Linked DNA regions of Saccharomyces cerevisiae S288C. Changing the gene in region 3 together with the main gene of any one other region gives a genetic interaction. Each region holds a gene or a part of one and is shown on either strand. Other genes may lie near its edges.

What was found.
Region 1: mutations in YEF1 (region 3) and EUC1 together harm fitness more than expected from each alone (negative genetic interaction), as found in Saccharomyces cerevisiae (one large-scale study listed by BioGRID).
Region 2: mutations in YEF1 (region 3) and YBR053C together harm fitness more than expected from each alone (negative genetic interaction), as found in Saccharomyces cerevisiae (one large-scale study listed by BioGRID).
Region 4: mutations in YEF1 (region 3) and YLR126C together harm fitness more than expected from each alone (negative genetic interaction), as found in Saccharomyces cerevisiae (one large-scale study listed by BioGRID).

The regions. Positions count from the first base shown.
Region 1 is NC_001145.3:491,830-495,667, reverse strand, and holds EUC1 (Euc1p), read left to right. Parts: upstream 1-1,875; coding exon 1,876-3,264; downstream 3,265-3,838. Other genes in the region: FOL3 (dihydrofolate synthase), read right to left, coding at 1-669; MED11 (Med11p), read left to right, coding at 1,173-1,568; HFD1 (hexadecenal dehydrogenase), read left to right, coding at 3,676-3,838. UniProt on the Saccharomyces cerevisiae protein: Transcription factor-like protein that binds to specific DNA motifs called ub-HS-motif associated with several locations where proteins other than histone H2B are ubiquitinated (ub-hotspots).
Region 2 is NC_001134.8:339,131-342,429, forward strand, and holds YBR053C (regucalcin), read right to left. Parts: upstream 1,622-3,299; coding exon 545-1,621; downstream 1-544. Other genes in the region: RFS1 (flavodoxin-like fold family protein), read right to left, coding at 1-222.
Region 3 is NC_001137.3:74,300-77,951, forward strand, and holds YEF1 (NADH/NAD(+) kinase), read left to right. Parts: upstream 1-1,644; coding exon 1,645-3,132; downstream 3,133-3,652. Other genes in the region: GDA1 (guanosine diphosphatase), read left to right, coding at 1-1,028. UniProt on the Saccharomyces cerevisiae protein: ATP-NADH kinase with a low phosphorylation activity of both NADH and NAD(+) to produce NADP and NADPH by using ATP.
Region 4 is NC_001144.5:394,247-397,569, forward strand, and holds YLR126C (putative amidotransferase), read right to left. Parts: upstream 1,275-3,323; coding exon 519-1,274; downstream 1-518. Other genes in the region: APC2 (anaphase promoting complex subunit 2), read right to left, coding at 1,512-3,323. UniProt on the Saccharomyces cerevisiae protein: May have a role in copper and iron homeostasis.

The DNA.
Region 1 (3,838 bases), on a different chromosome or scaffold from region 3:
ACAACCCCAGGAGTTGGTGTCAATCATATTTCCGTTAAGTTGAGAATCTGTAACGGATAGTTCAGACCCTAAAGCCTTGCATCTTTCTTTCACAACATTTATAACACTTGCCTCATTGGTTCCATCAATCACTGTGAAGGGTACCCCTTCTGTTATTATACCTGCTTTCTCTTTAGAGATTTCAGACAAGGTGTTACCTAAAAAGCTTTCATGATCCAAACTGATTTTAGTAATACCACAACATGCCTTATTTGCGCCTGGAATAACATTGGTCGCATCAAGTCTTCCGCCAAGGCCTACTTCTATGACACACCATTGGCACTGCACATCATAAAAATATTTGAATGCGGTACATGTTAATAGCTCGAATTCCGTACATTTTAAAGAGTGTGACTTGTTTAAAGCTTCTAGTTGTAATCTAATATTCTGGTATCTCTCTAACGGAATCGGCTTATTGTTGATTGTAATGGAATCAGTAACATGCACCAAGTGTGGAGTGGTAAATTTTCCAATTTGGTAGGACTTTTGTTGCAACACAGAAGATAGGTAAGTACATACTGAACCTTTACCATTTGTCCCTGCAATGTGCAGCACTCTAAGTGAGTTTTGCGGATTGCCTAAATGCTCTAGTAGTTTTGTAATACGGGAAAGTCCCAATTCAATGGCCATTGATATAGCAAAATACAATAAATACACTAGATCAACTTACTAACAGGTGACCTTATCGGTCTATTCAAAACATTTACATTATAAACAATCCTGAGTTTTTCTGCTCAATTTTTAAATAACAATTATTCATAGAGGAAAACACCCGAACTAACCAATGTTGTAGAAGGGCCTATAAATAATATATATAACACAAGAAATATGGTAACCAGGACGTAGCCACCGTATGAGAAGCTTTGAAACATCCAGTGATAAAAAAATCTTGACTTTATTTATATATATGTATATTGGACATTTTAAAAACTTGATTTAAGTCGCTCATTGCGGCGGCTTTTATATTTTGAAAGTAATCGAATGAGTACGAAAATCTGACTTGGACAGTATGCAGGCCCTCATCTTAGCGGTTTTTTGACCCAGTCGTTAGATCTGCTAATTCGATTCAAATCTTCTCATCAAGCCAGAGGCGCGCTTATTAGAAGGACGCTATCAAATCCAAATGAACAACGATGCAGGTTCTCAATACGAAGAGTGAAACGAAACAAGAAAACGAAACAATGCAGCCACCATATATACAAGAACGTCTTAAGTCATTAAATGATATAGAGACCCAGTTATGCTCCATGTTGCAGGAGGCGTCTCAAGTCACGTTCATATTTGGTGAACTAAAAAGAGGTAATGAATCAGTGAAACCCCAATTCGAAAATCATGTCAAACAGTTTTACGAACGACTAGATAAATCAACCACACAGCTACGCAAGGAGATACAGTTGTTGGATGAGAACGTTGGAACACGACTACTGCCCATCAATGTCAACAAGAAGGCCCTAGGCCAAGACACAGAAAAAATGGAAGAACAATTGGATTTATTGTCGGCTATATTAGATCCTTCGAAATCCAAGTAAACCTTAATTAGGACTAGAACACTTTTGTATCAAGTACAAATGTATAATTATATAAACATCACAGGGATATCATATTCCATATGATGATATAGCATTTACTTTACTTCAACCAGTATTGTCTAAAGAGAACGAGTTTAGTATTAGTAAAAAAATTAAAAAAAGGAAGCGTACTTGAAACTCAAACACAAACGAGAGTACAAAGGGCATTGCTAGCTTAAAATATTTAACAATCAACTTCGTCTTTTGCCAGAAGACTACATTTTGTGCCATCGAGAAGTTAGTCCAGGAGTCAACACATTAATTAAACATGCCCGCTCGAGAATATAACTATGTAGAAGGTTTTGGTGGGTACGGCTCGTTGGACGATGATGATTCAGATAGAGATTCTGAACGCAGGAATCACGATCTAGGGCAGCGAACTATAACCACAAGTCCAACAGGAGTATCAAGACATGCTGCATTAAATAGGTACATGATCCCAGGCCGTATCAATCCTCTTTTCAGACCGACAGACGCTGCTCAACCTCCCATAGTGTCTACATCCACATCAGCATCGGCAACAGAACCGACCAACAGAATAGGCCCTGGAAGGATAAAAGAAACCCCTGAAACAAATTTCAATGCATTTCTTATAGCACAACTAACCAGAATGGAGGAGCAAAATGCCAATCTGAAGGAAGAAATCAGCCTAATGAAAAAGGAACAAGAACTCTTCTTTCTAGAGAATCAAAAGAAGTTGGAGAAAGGATTTAAAGACATCAATAAGTATGTTGAAGATGTTTCCGCAATGAAAGAAGTCTTCAAAGAGGTAGTTGGTATTATGACTGGGGAGAGAATAAGATTTATAGACCATACTGGGGAAAATGTTACTCCTCAGGAAGCTGCTCGTGTTGGAAATCCATCAACAAGTACGCAAGCTCATCAAAGTCAGTCAAGATCAACAAACTGGCAAGAATATAGTATGCACGCAAGCATATTAGCCGGCGATCCTCGTATCAAGCCTGAGCCAGGGCTGTCAGACTTTGAAAATGGGGAATACGATGGTAATGAAAGTGATGAGAACGCTACCACCAGGAACCTACCTTTAAATAACCCCGATTCTGTTAGCAATGCTGATGACAGTAATAACCAACTCGATGGAACAGGAAACGAGAATGATATCAGAAACAGAAGAGGGTGCGTTGGAACGTCATATAAACTAAATCGTGCAATCCAGAACGTTACAGATGCGGCCCGTGAATACTTTGAAGGCTTACCGGGCCAACCGTCAGTTCTTTCCCTTGAGAGGAGATATGGGTCCACTTGGAGGCGATCTGCCAAAGAAAGGACTTTGTTCACTAAAAGAATGACCATCATAAAAAGAATAATAGATATAAAAGATGATCCAAGCAAATATGGTTTGTCGCTACCTGAGAATAAAATAAGTAGAAACCAAGCCATCAAGGTTGTCGAAAATATAAGATTGGGAAACAATACCTTCAAAGGACATCATTGCCGATTATCAATGTCCCAGTTATACGAATACTTCTCCAAAAAAATGGACAAACTCGAAGACTATTCACTTACTCTAAAGAGAAGAGGGAAGCCAAGAAGAATTTTCTTGTTAGAAGAGAGAGAAGCTAGATTATCATTACAGCAGCCACATAGTATACCAAATTCCAGTACAGGCACACCAGAACATGATCAAGACACTTAGAGGAAATGGAACAACGAATTTCCAGCCAAAAATTCCGAGTAGTTCATGATGAAAGATTTTTACATGCATTTTATATATAAATATATACCGTCCTATATGGATTTCATGCCAACAGGGTATATAATAGACAATTACCGGTGTACTGATATATCAACTATCGACTCCAAGCCTTTTATCTATCAGTCAATTTTACATCAAGATCCCACTTTTAGATAGGTTCGAAAATTCAATCTAATATTAGTGATTTAATTAGATGGTGGATTGCTTACCCTTTTTTTTGTCGTTTTAGGAGGAGATTCTTCGGATTTTAGGGATAAACGGATACTCCATATATAAAAAACAAAACTTCAGGCATATTGATTATCTAAAAGGAATATTCTAAAACCATAGCCATAGTAATTTATCACCAACATGTCAAACGACGGCTCAAAAATATTGAATTATACCCCAGTGTCTAAAATAGATGAAATAGTTGAAATCTCAAGAAATTTCTTCTTTGAGAAACAATTGAAATTGTCCCACGAAAATAACCCAAGGAAAAAAGATCTAGAATTCAGGCAGTTGCAGTTGAAAA
Region 2 (3,299 bases), on a different chromosome or scaffold from region 3:
CGTTTCTCTTGTTAGGATTTTATAGGAAAAATCTGCATTAGTTTTGGCGACTTTGGCTGCCTCTTTTCCCTCTTCTGTCGCATATTCAGTTTTATAGCTGACGTCTGGCACTTGGAAAATCTCAGCCTCACCACCAGCTATCTCTATACCTTTTTTTTCATTTTCTGCTAATGTGGCAATTATATCGTCCACTGAATAAATCAAAATAGCGACTTTCGGCATTATCTATGTGGCGTAGTATGTGCTTATAATAGTGAGTAGTATGCTGGAGGTCTTGATGTTCGATGTTTCTCGAGAAAAGTGTGATATAAAATGTGGTTTCTTTTTATTTCTTTTCTTTTCCGCTCTTTTATGTATTTTTGATTGTCCGCCCCTTAGGTGTTCCCTCCTTATAACTAGGCAACCAAAATGGAACGGCTATTATTCGATGTATAAGGACAAGTTTGGGAGCTTCGCTTCAATTTGCCCATAAGCGGTGTCATATGACGCTAGTTACATGCGCTGGATACGTATGCTGCATATATATAAACATATGTATATACACCTAGTGGAGAGGTTGTCGCTTTGTAGATTCCAGAGGAACATTTCCGTCTAGCACGTTTGGAATTTTGTAGATGCAGCCACCATTCTTGTCAGTATTGGTTCTTACAGCATCGTTGATTTCTGCATTGGCAGTGGTCACGAAGAGATCTTTACCAACAAAACAACAACATGAAACTCTTGGTGTCTGCTCCGGCAAAATGAACTCCTTCAGCAATTTTCCGTTAGTTAAATCGAACATTTGAACCTTACTGGTGGACCAGACAGTGATAAACAGAAACCCAGAATGTTTTCCGTCTTTGCTAAACCAAATTGCACTTCCATCTGGTTCAGGAGACTCAAAAGATTGATTGTTGGAGTTCTTCACGTCAATTAACTCGTCACGTTTTAGCAAGTCGCCACCAGGACATTTCCAAATAGTGAAGTTTAAAGAATCAGTCACGTACATCGTCTTTTGATCACTTTCATCCCAGTGGATCGCGTTAGGAATTAACAAGCAATTCCAAACAAGCTCTATCTTGTGAGCTAATAGGTCAACACGAAGCAAACACCCAATAGGTTCCAAATCAAATGGAAAATCGCTCATTAGCCCCACATAAATATATTTTCCATCTGGCGAAACGTTCCCATCATTAGATCTCAACTTATATGCTCTGTCTGTACTCAATTCAGGACATTCGGAATACAAAATGACATATTCCCATTCACTTTTGCTAAAATCCAATTTTCCTATGCCAAATTTACTACCAAATAATACTTGTTTGATTTCATTTTGTGAAGCCCCATCAAGTATTGGAAATATACAGCCCACGGATTCTTTTAATTCATCTGGATTGGGAGGGTACTCAATTGACGCATTCTTGCCATAATTGGCTCTACTAATGGAAAAAAAAGAATGACTGGATTCAGGCTGTTCTATGTCTTCGACTTTATGAACCTCTCCTTTAAAAATATCAACCCACAACAGTGTACCGGTTTCCTTAACGAAGGTTATTCCTTCACTATGTATGGCACCGGGAACGTGATAATAAGGTTTTAAATCATGCAAAATAATTTCTTCAAAATCGCCAACACTACTCATTTTACGAAAAGTGTCTAGTTGCTCAATGCATATAAACTTAATCTAAGAATCTTACAGGACATCTTCATATATGTCCATATGCTTTGAATAAGCATTGGCTTCCCCTTAAAGCCCGACCGGGTAAACTTTCACCTAGCTGTTCTTGGCGACCATTAAATAATTTTGAATGCATTTCTAGGAACAAAATCAAGTGCAAGCTACAGCTTTACAATTATAGAATCTGTTGACCAAGTAAAATGGATGAGAAAATTTACGTACGATTTTGTTCCTTATCCATTCAGCTTCTCAGTTAGTCAAGAGGTAGCTGTAGCGGCTTAACGAAAAAGGTATTAAAAAGGGACATACTTTTTTTATATCTTTTCCTTTGGCGTTCACAGTTACTCTTTTAGAACTCCTTGTTGTTGTGTAATGCATTTACCCATTCCCGATATAACTACCACTTTGGAGAACTGTAGACAAAGACCGCTCTTACTGAGTATACATTTTACTTTCGTAGACCGACTTTTAACTCTATTAGGAAAAGCAATTGACTTTTGAACTTCGATGACGATTGTGCAAAATACAAATCGTTTCAAGCGGTGTTCGGAATAGCTCACAGAAATGGCGAAGATATGTTGAAAAATACATACCGATGTCATTTGTGAAAAACAAAAACACAAGCTACAATTTGTATATTTACTCAATTACATATACCAATTGAGTAATAATTAAACAAGAAGGCAAAAATAAACTAAAGCAAAATAGTATACCATCTTTGGTTCCTGGACCACATTTTCTCTCAATATTTTTGAGATGTTTTTCTTTACTTTGTTTTAAGTAGTCTTTCCATCTCCCTTCAACGGAAACAAGTGCACGCAACATGTTATTTTCCTGTTATCCGCCCTGAGCAGTTTTCTTCCCCGGGTGGCAACCATTCTCCAACATTAGACAAACTTTACAAAGAAGACACCCTACCCGGTTGCCTCCAAAGCCCTTCTTTCTTAACGCGAGTACCGCTTTGGGAGGCCTCATCTTGGTTGTGTCCTCGTATGGCAGCATCTGCCATTGAGCGAACCCTTTCCCGTTTTACGCGCATGGCCTAGACCGATCTTTAGCAGACATGCCGAGTGAATTTACCTAAGATTTCTAAGGACTCTTCTGCATGTTTCCGAAAATCACCGGAAAAACCTTCGGTTTTTTTAGACGAAAACTAGGAAGTTGCTTAGCTTTCCTTGTCGTCTTCAAATCTATATGCCATCGGAAGAGAATCAGAAGAGAAGATCACGACTTAAGAGCTTTGCTGTTAAGATAGCAAGAAAGCTTGCCAATAGGCAGTTATGTAACCTAGTTTATCTACACCTTCTTTGATTAACTTAGCTATGTAGGCCGGTGTGTTTGTTCATATCACGGCATACGTTAACACAATGTAAATCTTGCTTTGGGTTGACTGAGGGAAATAACTATAGACATCACACCAATGGCTAAGGGATATTTCGACCTCGCTATGGGTTCTAAATGAGGGAATGGAAAAAAAGGGTAAATTGAAAACAACCTACCGATTTTGGTACCACTTCCGTGATTTTCGATTCTTCAATTTCCGCATAATTTGCCTCAAATAGGAAATCTGAGCTGTTTTTTTCTTACCCTCGAGTGGTCGTTCTGCGGACTTTTCTCCGGTCCAATGCATGAATCCCTTTAA
Region 3 (3,652 bases):
TCTTGGGTGATGCCAAATCTTCAAAAATTTTGAGCGCTGTAAGGGATCATTTGGAGAAGGACTATCCTTTCCCAGTTGTCGAAGGTGATGGTGTTTCCATCATGGGCGGTGATGAAGAAGGTGTCTTCGCCTGGATTACTACAAACTACCTATTAGGTAATATCGGTGCTAATGGCCCCAAGTTACCTACTGCTGCCGTTTTTGACTTAGGCGGAGGGTCTACACAAATTGTTTTTGAGCCTACTTTCCCAATAAATGAAAAAATGGTCGATGGTGAGCATAAATTTGATTTGAAGTTTGGTGATGAAAATTACACCTTGTACCAATTTTCTCATCTAGGTTACGGTTTGAAGGAAGGAAGAAATAAAGTTAACTCTGTTCTTGTGGAAAATGCATTAAAAGACGGCAAAATATTGAAGGGTGATAACACTAAGACTCATCAATTGTCATCTCCATGCCTACCGCCTAAAGTTAATGCCACAAATGAAAAGGTTACATTAGAATCCAAGGAAACTTATACCATTGACTTTATAGGGCCGGACGAGCCAAGTGGTGCACAATGTAGATTTCTGACTGATGAAATTTTGAATAAAGATGCTCAGTGCCAGTCTCCACCATGCTCTTTCAATGGGGTTCACCAACCTTCTTTAGTTCGTACATTCAAAGAATCGAACGATATCTATATTTTCTCTTATTTCTACGACAGAACCCGTCCATTGGGTATGCCCTTGTCCTTTACTTTGAATGAATTGAACGATTTGGCAAGAATAGTGTGTAAAGGCGAAGAAACTTGGAATAGTGTCTTCAGTGGCATTGCGGGGTCCCTAGATGAATTGGAAAGTGACTCGCACTTCTGTTTGGACTTATCTTTTCAAGTGTCCTTATTACATACGGGATATGACATTCCATTACAAAGAGAATTGAGAACTGGAAAGAAAATTGCCAATAAAGAAATCGGTTGGTGTTTAGGTGCGTCATTACCATTGTTGAAAGCTGATAACTGGAAATGTAAAATTCAATCAGCTTGAATAAGAACATGGACACCGCTTTTCGTCCCATGTATATTAAGGAAGAGGAGATTGCGGTGATATGTATTCTGTTATATGTCCTATTCTATAACCCTTGAACAATATGTAAACGATTTTTACGTTATGAAAATCACTATTATCCCCACAATAGTTTATTATAACACCGCCGCCAAGACAGGGGATTGAAAAGGCCTTCCGAGGTTTATCCATTTTTGGTAAAAGCCCGCCACGCCTTCAGGTGTTTGAGTATGAACTGGAAGAGTTATCTGTTAGGACCTCATAATCTTGAACATATGAGATAATTTAATATACTTTTGTTATGGATTGTTCCGTTGTTTTAAGACTATATGGCTTTGTTTTAGTTTTAGGGTGATTGTGGATATCACACCGGTCCTCAAGAAAATCGAAAACAAAAGGATAATCGGACTTATCTGGTGATCGAAGAAACTGCATTTCAGGTCGTTTAATAAACTGCTAGCTATTGATATTATATATATAAATAAACCTACAATCAGGTTAGTGTATTCATCTCACTTCTATAGCGTTGTGAAAGGGAAATGGAAATAGTGCAATCTCAATAAATCTGCTTACGTGACATTTTTTACTAAAAGAGAATATGAAAACTGATAGATTACTGATTAACGCTTCCCCGGAGACATGTACCAAGGGAGATGCTGAGATGGATACTATGGATACTATTGACAGAATGACATCAGTTAAAGTTTTAGCGGAAGGCAAGGTATTAAGCAACTTCGAAGAACCGGGCTTAATGAGGTGCGGTTATCATGATGCAAAAAACTGGGTCAGAAGATTATCGAGCGAAACAATTGTCGGTGAGGACACGAGTAATTTATACCCATTTTATGTTGATACTGCATACGATGTAAGGCGTTTGAGAAAGGATCTTATAAATGCTAAGGTTGACTTGCAGGTTGAAAACCTGATAATAATCTGCAATATTAATGATATTTCCACTGTATTTCTCATGAGAGAAGTGGTGGAATGGATCTTACGCAATTTCCATTCAATAACTGTATATGTACAAGATATTTTTAAAAAGTCAACTCAGTTTGCTGTTGGTGACCTCTGCAAAGACAGCAATTGCAGTAAAAACAGAGTAAAGTATTGGTCAAAAGAATTTGTTAAAAAACACGATTCATTCTTTGACTTGATGATTACACTAGGGGGTGATGGAACTGTCCTTTTTGCTTCATCTATATTCACGAAAGATGTTCCGCCGATTGTTCCATTTGCCCTTGGATCATTAGGATTTCTAACAAATTTTGAATTTCAAAATTTCAAAGAAACGTTGAAACATATCTTAACAGATGAGGTTCGTATTAATTTACGAATGAGGTTGCAATGCAAACTCTACCGTAGAAATAAACCAGAAATTGATGCCGCAACTGGGAGAAAAATATGTTACATCGATTTCATCTCCGAACATCACGTATTGAACGAAGTAACCATAGATAGAGGTCCAGCTCCTTGTTTATCCCTATTAGAACTCTATGGAAACGACTCACTAATGACTAAGGTTCAGGGAGATGGATTGATTGTTGCCACGCCTACGGGATCCACGGCATACTCATTGAGTGCAGGAGGCTCTTTAATATCGCCAAGCGTAAATGCCATAGCGGTGACGCCTATATGTCCTCATACTTTGAGCTTTAGGCCTATAATTTTACCAGATAGCATGGAATTAAAAGTTAGAGTAGATATGAACTCAAGAGGGACGTCGTGGGTGAATTTTGACGGAAAAGATAGAGTTGAATTGAAACAGGGTGACTATGTTGTGATAACTGCAAGCCCCTATTCGGTACCGACTATCGAGTCATCTGCCAGTGAATTTTTTGAAAGTATCAGTAAAAATCTTAATTGGAATGACCGCGAAGAGCAGAAGCCATTTGCACATATTCTCTCGCCAAAAAATCAAGAAAAATATAGATTAGACTCATCGAAAAATGGAAACGACACCATAAGTAATCCCCTCGAGAGTTCATGCATAAGCTCAGATGCACAAGATGAGGAGAGGAAATCCGTAACGGAAACAGAAACAGAAATAGTTGTTGAACGGACTCGTCAGGCTCATTTTGCAATCTAACGATTTCCCACATCCTGCGTTTCCGTAGTCAAGGGTTCATAATGGATGATGAGCCTGTAAACAGCTTTGTATTTACCTCTTTTACTTCAAGAATGCTCTTGCGTCGTTTGCAGTGTCGAAGAAGATCCAGTAGAGCTATACAAAATGGAGAAATGAAACAGTTGAACCAGAGCGCCGCATTTGGCAGGTAGTTTCGCTAAATTTCCTCATGCGCGTTTGTAATTATGCTAGTTAACCATATGATAAGGTTGCCTAACTTGCAGTCACCGGAAGGTTATTTCCGGAATGGTGCAGAATAATTTTTAAAATAGTAGCATATATTTCGTTCCAATTCCCAAATAGGGAATTATAATTATGACAGATAAATTCCCGATTAGGAAGAAGCGCGAAAATTCTTGAAAAACTTTTTTCAACCTCGAAGAAAATCGTCGTCCTTCGAAGATTTAGTGGGAATCTTCAAGGTGGATAGTTTCCAAATTAAAACTGCAGAAGAGGCTTTTAAAACATGCCTGAGGTATAA
Region 4 (3,323 bases), on a different chromosome or scaffold from region 3:
TAAAGATAACAAATTGCTTTCTTCCGCTAATTTGAGCCTATTGAATTTACTGGGAAATGCCAACGTGGTCAGACATCAATTCAAGAAGTTTAGTTCTCAGAGAGTGTAACTTGCCTGTTTGGTCGCTGCAGTGAAACTGCCATTAGCTCTTTAGAACAACGTTCTAACTATACGAGGACCATATTACGTAAATCAACAAACCTCAAGAATTAGTGTCATATTTTCTCGCAGATATTACTACTGACATTCAGTCAGCTATATCCATTATGCATGAGCGAAAAAAAAGTGCATACAAAAAAGCTTATTTATTGGACTTAATAAACGAAACTATGTAGTGCCGAACCTTCGGATACTGATCATTGGAGTGATTTGATAAAGTTTCTGCAGAATTCTGGGAAATGAAGGAAATGACGTAGCGAGGCCTTCATGCAACACTAGTTGAAATTGAAAAAAAAAAAAACCTTATAAGCTATCTTTCCTATACGTCCTCTATCGACTATATAACCCAAGCAGCTGTTTCATATTTTTTGCAAGAATAACCTCCAAATATTCCTGGCAGCTTGTATGCCATTGTTATCCAGCTCCTGGCACTGTCTTTCGTATCTATTAAACTCTTCAAGGGTAAGCTTGTCTTGAGACTTCAAAAGCCCCTTCTGAGCGACATCACTATTGAATTCAGGGTGTCCTTGAAACGTCAGCACTCTGTTTTGCCTGTAAAATCCTTGGTTTTGACATTTTTCACTTGACGCCCAATTTTGGTATCCCTCTGGGACATCGAACACGCAGTCACTGTGCACTTCAGAAAGATTTAATTCTTGAGCACCAAATAACTTTTGACCCACAGAGTTCAGTTTTAGTGACACAACCCCACCTTCAAACCCTTTCGGATTCCGTCCAACTGAACTTCCTAGAGCAGCCGCGATAACTTGATGACCAAAACATATTCCAGCTACGGGCGGATATTCAGTCTTGCTAGTTAGCATCTCATTTAAGAAACTTCTTAATTTCATAATCCATTCAATTTCATTATCAAATGAATCATATTTTGAACCAGTGATGTATATGCCTAAATACTCATCTTTCTGAAGATCTGACAATTGAGGGAACACGTTTTTTTGTACGTGGAACACTTCATATTCGACATCTTCTGCGATACATTCCAATTTCCTGGTCTGTTCTAATAGCTTGATAGCCATATCAACAAAATTGCCCCATGGTTTACTCCATTCGTTATCTTCATCTGTATAAAGAATAGCTATTTTTTTTACTGTCATTATGATGTTTTCTTAGTATTTTTTTGATATAATTCAATTCTAATATATGTTAATGCATAATTTTCAGAGCTATAGCGGTATATATTTCAAACTTTCTCAATTATCTATGTGAAATTATAAACCTTATCTGTCTTTTCTTCTGTACACCTCATCTGCCACTTCCCACTTTGGCGCGCGTTGACATTTTGCGACAAAAAGAGATTGTTCGTGGCAGTCGTGTAAAAAACTGCACCTCAATCATGAGTTTTTATGCCCATTTTTCACTATTTCATATGAACCATTGGCAATGTACTTCAGCCTACCCTCATCGGCCAGAGTGTTTAAATATCCCTCTAATTGTTGAAGAGTAATTCGGTTATATCCCCAATCTTTTGGCACGGTAATTTTCAAAAAAGAATGGATCTTATGAAGTTTCATTGCGCCTAAATTAGTCAGCATTCCTTCGATGAATGGCAGACTTCTTTGAAGTGTCAATTCATATTTTCTTTCTATCTCAGAATCGTTATGTAGTTCATAGTTACTGTTCTCAATCTCCATTGGGGCGGTCTTTTGTGCTTGATCAAAATCCATCTCGCTATGTTCAATAACGGAATAGGTTCCATTTTCTTTTAAAAGCACACCTTTTTGAATCCAGAAATCTAACAAATGAGTTAGCCTGGGAGGAGCAATATTTAGTGACTCAGAAAGCTGCTCTAGTGATAAACAAATTGGCTCATCATTTGGAGAATCAAACTGATTTATTACGCTGCATTGTTCTAAAGAAACGTCTAACACTAATTTCCTACCATCTTTGAAAGCTAATTGTATTTCTACTTTTCCTTTATCTTTGCATAGTTGTAACTTGCGCCCAGGTTTCAGCTGTGAGTATATATCAGAATACTTCTGTAGCTCCCTTTCTAAATCTATTGGTAAATGAAATGCAAGATCATTAGAACCTTGTGTATCGCAGTTGTACTTCCAGTAGAGGAGTGAGATAAATTTTGGAAATATTATGGGATCCAGTCCGGCTACTTCATGCATTTTACGGCAGAGCTCCTCGCTACATTTTATATCCCAAAGCATAACATCAATGCTATTCAAATTCGACTGGTCTGCATCTGCTGCAGGGGCTGTTGTTTCTAGGAGTCCTAATATACCGTTTGTTATATAATTGGAATGACTTGTTTCTGTGAATTTGACTATTTTTTCTCTTATTAATTTCAAACATCGGGTCCATTTTTCATCCAACGTATAAAATTTCAAAGTGAATAATCTGTCGGTTAAGAGATTTCGAAATTCTGATATGAAAAATTCTCTTGATTCAAATAGATCCAAAAGCACCTCAAACAAATTTGTCTTAATATAACTTGATTTGATGTTACCGGGAATCATGTCATTAGGCTCTGGTACCCAAGCTATATAATAATTGAGTATATGTTCGTATAGCATGGCGTGTCTTATTGGTAGGTCCTTGTTCAATTCCCTCTTTCCTTTCACCTTGAGGTTCCATAGAAAGGGGCTTTTTTTATTCTTGTCCCTTTTGGTGATGTTCGTATCTTGATTGATATCAGAATCGTGCAAAGTGTCTACAAGTGAGAGCAGTGCCTTCATATCTACATTGAAATTAATTTTCTCCTTTAGTTCTTCTTCAGGTAAGTCCAACATTGCGTATAACAATACATTTACTAAGTGCTTCCGCTCCTGAAAGTAAGGTTTAACAAACGTGGTTATTGAATGTAGGCATCTCCCTGTTGGATCCAGGACCAAAAATGCTTTGATAGTTTTAACATATCTCAACAAAGCGTCCACCGTAGTTACGCTGGGGTTTAGAATGTATTTCTTGAAATCAGACAAAAAAGTTGTTACAATATTTGTGTAGTCTTTAAAATCTTTCATAATTTTCCTCAATTCCAATAAAGTAACCTTTGAATCAGGATAAGCCAAAACGCATATATCAAAGATTTCATTCGTTCTTATCCTAAGAAAATTGGACTCAAAACAGTTGAAAACTGTAGTGGTCAGTTCGTGATCATCCTCTGGACAACCGACTAATTTAGAGAACTGAGACCA